Macaca mulatta: one gene and its partner. The main gene of each other region encodes a partner of the protein of the gene in region 2 in a complex. Links are inferred from orthologs where the notes say so. Each region holds a gene or a part of one and is shown on either strand. Other genes may lie near its edges.

Region 1 (4,406 bases), on a different chromosome or scaffold from region 2:
ATAGTCGCAGCTACTTGGGAGGCTGAGGCATGAGAACTGCTTGAACCCGGGAGGCAGAGGTTGCAGTGAGTTGAGATTGTGCCACTGCACTCCAGCCTGGACAACAGAGTGAGACTCTGTCTCACAAAAAAAAAAAAAAAAAAAAAAAAGGCAAGCCGGGCATGGTGGCTCACATCTGTAGTCCCAGCACTTTGGGAGGCTGAGACAAGTGGACCACAAGGTCAGGAGTTCGAGACCAGCCTGGCCAATATGGTGAAACCCGTCTCTACTAAAAATACAAAAATTAGCTGACATGGTGGCAGGTGCCTGTAGTCTCAGCTACTTGGGAGGCTGAGGCAGGAGAATCGCTTGAACCTGGAAGGCGGAGGTTGCAGTGAGCCAAGATCGCGCCACTGCACTCCAGCCTGGGCGACAGAGCAAGGCTCCATCTCAAAAAAAAAAAAAAAAAACTTTATTAAAAAAAAAACTTTATGTTAAGAAAAGTCATTAGAGTGGGCCCTATTTCTACATGCCTGGTATCCTTATAAGAAGAGATCTAGACAGAAACACTACAGAGTGAAGACCAAGTGAAGACACAGGGAGAAGAGAGTCATCTATAAGTAAGGAGAGAGGCCTGGAACAGATCCTTCCTTCACATCCCTCAGAAGAAATCAGCCTTGCCAACACCTTGATCTCAGACTTCCAGCCTTCAGATCTAGGAGAAAACAAATTTGTGTTGTCTAAGCTGCCCAATCTGTGAAACTTTGTTATTGGCAGCACTAGCATACAAATACAAGCAGGGAGGCAGGTGGCTGCCCCCCCACCATTGGTCAGGCATGTGACATGCATCTACTCATTTCTTCTGCACTATGGTTCCTTCTGAAGCCAAGGAGCTATTTTTATCCCTGACTTAGAAGAGGGACCAGAGGACGAAGGAGGTCCAAAGCTCACCCCAAGTCACCCTAGGTGGCAGGCTGCAAGCTGATTCCAGGTCTGTCTGACTCCAAGTTCTGTGCACTTTGTGTCACGTGGACTGCATCTCTGAATGGCCACCGAGGTTATCTGGTTAGACACCTTCATGTTATGGATGGGATGACAAAGGCCCTGGAAACCCAGCAGGTTGTCCAAATACATATAGCTAGATGACAAACCCATTAAGATTCACTAACCCAAGTCCTGCATTCTCCTCACCAAATTAAAGTACCTTAAAGTGGATGAGCATGCCTTAAGCCAGAGGTCTGGATATATGAAAGAGAGATGATAAACCTATCTACTGTCAATAGATAAACTGATCTATTGACAATGATGCAATAAACCTGAGTCACCAGAGGTCTACTTCTCTGCATCCAGGGAACTGACCAAGCTTGTCAACCTCGCAGGAAGATGATAGACGCTCAAAGCTACAGAAAAATCACAAATAAATGAATGGCGCAAACCAATAGATGGTCAGGATACCTGACCGTGGTGTAAGACGCTTTACCTCTCTGACCTTCTCATCTGGAAAAAAGCAGTAAACACCATACGTTGAACACTTACAGTATGTGAGGCACCGAGCAGCTATTGCACACATATAGCTCATCTGATCTTTGTAAAAGTCCTGGGGGTGTGGATATTATCCCTGTGGCAGTCTTAAGGGTGTGCTGCTCAGATCTCCCTCCAAAAGAAAACAGGCTATGAGGAGTGAAGGCAGCCGACAATCTCCATCTTTGCAGTCCACCATGGCATTCAACTTGGGGAGAGAGACTGTCTCCCCAGGCTGCCAGCCAATGGAATGAACACACCAGGGGTGCCAGTCTGCCCATTTCTGCCCCATGTTAGATTCTTCTAATGAGCAATCACTGCCTTGCTGAGACTTCCTCAAAACTACACTGTAGTCTAAGGTTCTTCCTGCTCAATCCTCCTTCTTTCCCCTCTCGTTTCACCAGTCAGACCAGCATCACGGACTGAAAATTTCCCTGCCTACTACTGTTTCCTTGTTCCTTTATCCTTTATTGTCATTTCCCCCAATAAATACCTTGCATAATTCTGTCTTGGCATCTACATCAAAGAACCCAAAATAATAACACTCCCGTTTTACAGATGAGAAAACTGAGTGATTAATACATCTAAGGTCATATAATTAGGAATCAAACCCACATCTCTCTCTGACTCCCAAGTCCAAGTTCTTAACCAATGGTTTAAAGAACAAAGAAAGTGTGAAGATACAACTGAAAAACAATGCTATAAAAATTCAGATGACTATGCAAAAGGCAAAGCTGCGCCATGAGAAGGACACCGTATCAAGAAACTACTCCATTATTTACTATCAGAGTGATGAGTCCTTTAATCTCATTCTCCCTATTTTATGGATGACAAGACTACCACCAAACCTGCTTACCTCACAAGGTAGTTGCAATAATCAAATGAGACTCCTCCTCCAAGAGAAAAGGGAAACAAACACAGTATGTGAGAAGATTCTCCTAACTGCAAAGCAAGTGGAGGCAAATGGATAATGGCTCTGAACCTGAAGGATTCTACTGAAGGAACTTCTCCCAAACAGGTCCCCAAATTTGGGGATGGAAAAAACAAAAAAGGCGAAGTAAAATATTCCAAATCTCCAAATGGCTTTTCTGCCTCAAGACTATGTGTTTTGTTCATGCCCACATCCCCAGAGCCTATAACAGCACCTGACTGGTATGTGTTAGGCACTCAGGAAATCACTGCTGAATGAGAACAATTTACAGAAGACCCCCAACCCACACCTTTCTGTCCTTCAAGACACAGGGCCATTCCTCCCACACAGCCTCACATGCAAAGCAGAATACCTGGCAGTTCATGTTGTCCTCTGCTTCAATGAGCTTCCCCCGATATACCTCACCGGTGTTCGTCTCACATGTCACAATGTGGCCCTCGGCCTCGTGCAGCACTTTAATTGGCACACCAATAGACATCTTGGCAGGAAGAGAGCTCTACAGTGAAAGAGACAACAGTCAGTTCATCTTTCAGAGTCTGAGAAGGCATGCGGCACACGTCATGCCTCCTTCAAGGCCTGGCACTCCATAAAACTTAGCAAAAACGCCAAAGCTGCATTTTCTATCAAAGAAAAAGAAAAAAGAAAGCTCAGCTCCTGGCTTGGAGGAAACTATCTGGCAAATATGTGCAAGATGTCGGGTGAGGAGGAATGGTGGGGTGGACAGAAGTAAAAACAGGAATGAAAAGAGAGCATCTCCCATCGACCATGTGTCCCTGCTACCCTATGTCCCTTAATCTTCAGCTAAAGGACCATTAGCGAATACTGTGTGTGTAGGGGAGGGGGATTGGAATGTTAATCTGTTGCACTGTTATTTGTCAACCCTTAATTGTAGATTATTACATTTTGACAATCATAACACAGGCCTGAGCTGTCCAATACAGTAGCTCATGTCCACATGTAGCTATTTAAATTAAACTTAACTAAAACACAATAGAATTAAAATAAAAAACCCAGTCCCTCAATCCCAGTGGCCATATTCCAAGTGCTCAACAGCTACATGTAGCTGGTGGCTACCCTACGGAAGGAGCAGATACAGACCTAAGGACCATGCATATCTAGGAGAGGAGACTGTACTTTTAATGCAGCTCTTTAACCCTTCCCTTACTTTACCATCAAGGATATTGAGAAAATATCAAAGTGACAACGTGCTATATGCAGGAAATGCCCGTCATGGAGGAAAATAAGGGAAAGCACCTGACTTGACCTAATTAAAAGCATCAAGTAGTGAACTTTTTATTGACATGAGCGACGACTCAAAGTTGGAACCTAAGTGCACCTAAGACAGGAGAACATGAGGTTGAAAAGACAGGCTCCTTTGGTGAGGATCCCTGGCTTTCAGCCTTAGGAGCCTAGATTTTATGCTGAAGATAGTGGGGAACCACTGCAAAATTATAGGTAAAGAATGACACAATGAAAAGGTAGCAGCATTTATTTACAAAATGGATCTAACGTAAGGTTTAGAAGCAGAGAAACTTGTTAAAATTTCTGCAACAGTTAAAACTGCTGCAACAGTGTGGAAAGCATGACGGGACCACTGCCTGAAAGGGAGCTGGGGGCAGAGATGCAAAGAACTTTTTAAAAAATGACCGGCTGGGCGCGATGGCTCACGCCCGTAGTCCCAACACTTTTGAAGGACGAAGCCGGTGGATCCCTTGAGCCCAGGAGTTCGAGACCAGCCAGGGTAACATGGTGAAACCGTCTCTACTTTAAAAAAAAAAAAAAAAAAAAAAACCCTCATAGGATTTGACTTCAAGATTCAAAAAACTCATAGGAAATGACTTCAAGATTACTGCCTGGAAACTTTGAAAAACACTCACCTGGAGAGATACAGAATGTAAGAAGCATGCACATTGAGGGGGCAGCTAATGAACTTACTTCCAGGCGCTAGTGAGGCGACGCTGATGTTTGGGTGGTC
Region 2 (3,646 bases):
TTTAGGCCGGGAGCAGTGGCTCACACCTGTAATTCCAGCACTTTGGGAGGCTGAGGCAGGTGGATCACGAGGTCAGGAGTTCAAGATAAGCCTGGCCAACATGGTAAAACCCTGTCTCTACTAAAAATACAAAAATTAGCTGGACATGGTGGCACATGCCTGTAATCCCAGCTACTCAGGAGGCTGAGGAAGGAGAATTGCTTGAACTGGGACACAGGAGGCAGAGGTTGCAGCGAACTGAGATAGCCCCACTGCACTCCAGCCTGGCCTACAGACTCAAAACAACAACAACAACAAAAAAAACTATCTTTATTTCTGGAGATGGAGTCTTGCTCCATGGCCAGGCTGGAGTGCAGTGGCGTGATCTCTGCTCACTGGGAGTAGCTGGGATTACAGGCACACACCACCACACTCGGCTAATTTTTGTATTTTTAGTAGAGACGGGGTTTCACCATGTTGGCCAGGATGGTCTTGGTCTCCCGACCCTGTGATCCTCCTGCCTCAGCCTCCCAAAGTGTTGGGATTACAGGTGTGAGCCACCGCACCTGGCCAAAAGCAAGGATATTTCATCCAAAGTAACAGCAAAGGAAACAACGAGGGATGGAAATACAGTACAACTTCTAGGAAAGGACAACACAGAAAGTTGAGTATTTATCTGACAGTTACTATTCTCACTATAAAGCAGAAGGTAAGGTCAAAGTCGTTAAGATCCCCAAGGAAGCCAATAGGAAAGGAAGACAGAAGCCGTGCAGGACCAAAATAACACATTTCCTGGCACTTGTTATGTCCAGGAATTCTGCTAAGTGCTCTAATCAATCAGGCTCATTTAATCGCCACAATGGTATGTGGTAGATGCCATGTGGTAGTTTTTGTTATCACTACCCCCTCAGCATTCACACAAGAAAAAGAGGCTTAAAGAAGGTGTTGAAGTCACAAAACTAGAAAATGGTGAAACTGGGATTAGAACTCAAGTCAATTACTTGAAAGTTTGAGCTACACTGTACTGCCATATGGTCTATTGCCTCTTTAATATCATTACCTTCTCTCATTCTTAGAGAAACTTAGAAAACTCCCTTTCCATAGTGTCAAAAAGAAAAACACAGTGAGAGATGAGGATACAGAATCACAAACTGATTCACTGCTCCCATTAAACTAAGATGGTTAAAAAAAGATTCTGAATGTCTTTAAAAGGAAATGCACTCTTTATTTTTTACATAGTCCCCCTACAGAGACTTCACACTTCACATTAAGTGCCTGGTCCCTGACAGCATTTATAAGATCTGCAATGCAACCTTTAATTTAGGAAGTCAATGAAGACAGGAGAAAAAGAAAATAAGTTCCAAATTACTATTTTCCTTTCAGTTGGTATTAAGTGCAAAGCTACCACAATTTCAGAAGTTTGAAAAAATTTGTTTCTAAGTGCAGATGGGTGAAATGGAAATATATCATAAACATCAAACATACCTTGATATCATTGTCTATTCCACCAGAAATAATCTGATCACTTGTGTCATTGAAGGTCACAGCTAACACCTGGTACGTGTTCTGAAATGTCTGGATGGCTGCTTTCTTCCGGATGTCCCAAAGCTGAAGCAAAGGACAACAGGGTCTATCATTAATATCATTCTAAGAAGTAACTGCACAGTACAAATATCCCTAAGTACAAGGACTTTGTGAACATGAACACATCTATAATTGGGATCCCATTTCACTAACTCCTGGATATCCTAATAACACACATGGTAAGCAGTGTCCTCAATTTTGCCAAGACATTTGAAGGCTGGTGAAACAAAACTTCAGTTATATTTTCAGACTTCTTTGTTAAAGTGAATAAACAGAGTTAAATCAAATACTCTTAGAATGGAATTCCACTAATTACTTGGTTCATATATTTTTTAGGACAACAAGGATATCAGACAATTTTTTCAAACTGTAGATACTAATTCATTAGTGGGCTGCAACCCACATTTAAAAAAATAGAGAGCGGGTACGTCAGTGAAAATAGTATAATAAACAATGACAAAAGCTTGTCCTTCCACAAAACAACAAATGAACCAGCAAAAACCTGTCAGAATCAACTATCGGAATTCTCATAACTAATCAAAAGTTTATAGTAACCAGGCAAACCCTTAATGAGGAAAAAGGAAACAAAAAACCCCTGAGTCCCAGTAAAAGGGTTTTGTAGTGTTTTAACTTGTGCTGGCTCTGTCTCCCGCTCAGCAACAGCTTTGAAGATAACCCATATTCCCAGTATGGTGTCCTAGTACTGAGGAAGCAAAGGGGGGCCTATTTCTTATTGTCAAAGAATAAACAATAAAAATTGTTTATTTTTACTTGCCTGGTGGCTCCCTGAAGGATAAGCTCAAAGGACTTACATTTATTTTTTTATTTATTTATTTTTTTGAGACGGAGTCTTTGCTCTGTCGCCCAGGCTGGAGTGCAGTGGCGCCAACTCGGCTCACTACAAGCTCCACCTCCTGGGTTTACGCCATTCTCCTGCCTCAGCCTCCCGAGTAGCTGGGACTACAGGCGCCCGCCACCTCGCCCGGCTGGTTTTTTGTACTTTTAGTAGAGACGGGGTTTCACCGTGTTAGCCAAGATGGTCTCGATCTCCTGACCTCGTGATCCGCCCGTCTCGGCCTCCCAAAGTGCTGGGATTACAGGCGTGAGCCACCGCGCCCGGCCAGGACTTATATTTATTTTGTCTAACTTGGAACTTTCCTTGAAAACATTTAAAGGAAAGGATATTATTAGCCTCTGGTGCCTGGGGGCAAGGAAAAACAGTTGGGGCAAAAATACAAACCAAAAACCTTGGGAGGAAGGGCTGGGGAAGGAGACAATTTGGGGAGTAAGAGTTTTGAAAAGCACCGACATATTCCTGGCTATCTATCTTTATCTATCTATCTATCTATCTATCTATCTATCTATCTATCTATCTATCTATCTATCTATCTATCTATCTACCTACCTACCTACCTACCTACCTACCTACCTACAGAGTCTCCCTCTGTCACCCAGGCCGGAGTGCAGTGGTGCGATCTCGGCTCACTGCAACCTCCACCTCACGGGCTCAAGCAATTCTCCTGTCTCAGCCTCCCGAGTAGGTGGGATTACAGGCGCGTGCCACTATACCCAGCTAATTTTTGTATTTTTAGTAGAGACAGGGTTTCGCCATGTTGACCAGGCTGGTCTCACACTCCTGGCCTCAAGTGATCTGTCTGCCTCGCCCTCCCAAAGTGCTAAGATTACAGGCATGAGCCACCATGCCTGGCCCATCCCTGGCAATCTAGACCACTTGCATGTCCAGGGCTGGGCACATACTTAGAAAAGATCTGAGAAGGCCATAAGCTCTCTGGTTGACCTTCAGGCTCTGCACAAGCAGGAAGTGAAAGCTAAGGAGAGATGTAAACTGCACAGCAAGGAGTTGAAGGCAGGCTCCAACATACCAAAAGACAATCTGCAAAGACTGGGAGAGCTTTTGTTCTTGTTGTTGTAGGTAATTTAGGAAACTTCTGTCATTCACTAGCTGACCACTAAGCTAACAAAAAAAGAATTCAGTGGTAACACAGGACAAAGAATACAAACTTTACAAAATTAGTTCAAAAATTCACTAAACAGGCCAGGTGTGACAGCTCACACCTGTAAT

What was found. Proteins that work in one complex are often made in the same cells at the same time.
Region 1: SNRNP40 (region 2) and SNRPD3 share a complex: the UniProt entries of both Homo sapiens proteins name them as parts of the U4/U6-U5 tri-snRNP complex. The link is inferred for Macaca mulatta from reciprocal best matches to the Homo sapiens genes SNRNP40 and SNRPD3.

What each region holds. Positions count from the first base shown.
Region 1 is NC_133415.1:28,770,428-28,774,833, forward strand, and holds the start of SNRPD3 (small nuclear ribonucleoprotein Sm D3), read right to left. Parts: upstream 2,928-4,406; 5' UTR 2,910-2,927; coding exon 2,784-2,909; intron 1-2,783. Other genes in the region: protein GUCD1, read left to right, coding at 4,357-4,406. UniProt on the Homo sapiens protein: Plays a role in pre-mRNA splicing as a core component of the spliceosomal U1, U2, U4 and U5 small nuclear ribonucleoproteins (snRNPs), the building blocks of the spliceosome.
Region 2 is NC_133406.1:209,580,239-209,583,884, reverse strand, and holds part of SNRNP40 (U5 small nuclear ribonucleoprotein 40 kDa protein), read right to left. Parts: intron 1,588-3,646; coding exon 1,465-1,587; intron 1-1,464. UniProt on the Homo sapiens protein: Required for pre-mRNA splicing as component of the activated spliceosome. Component of the U5 small nuclear ribonucleoprotein (snRNP) complex and the U4/U6-U5 tri-snRNP complex, building blocks of the spliceosome.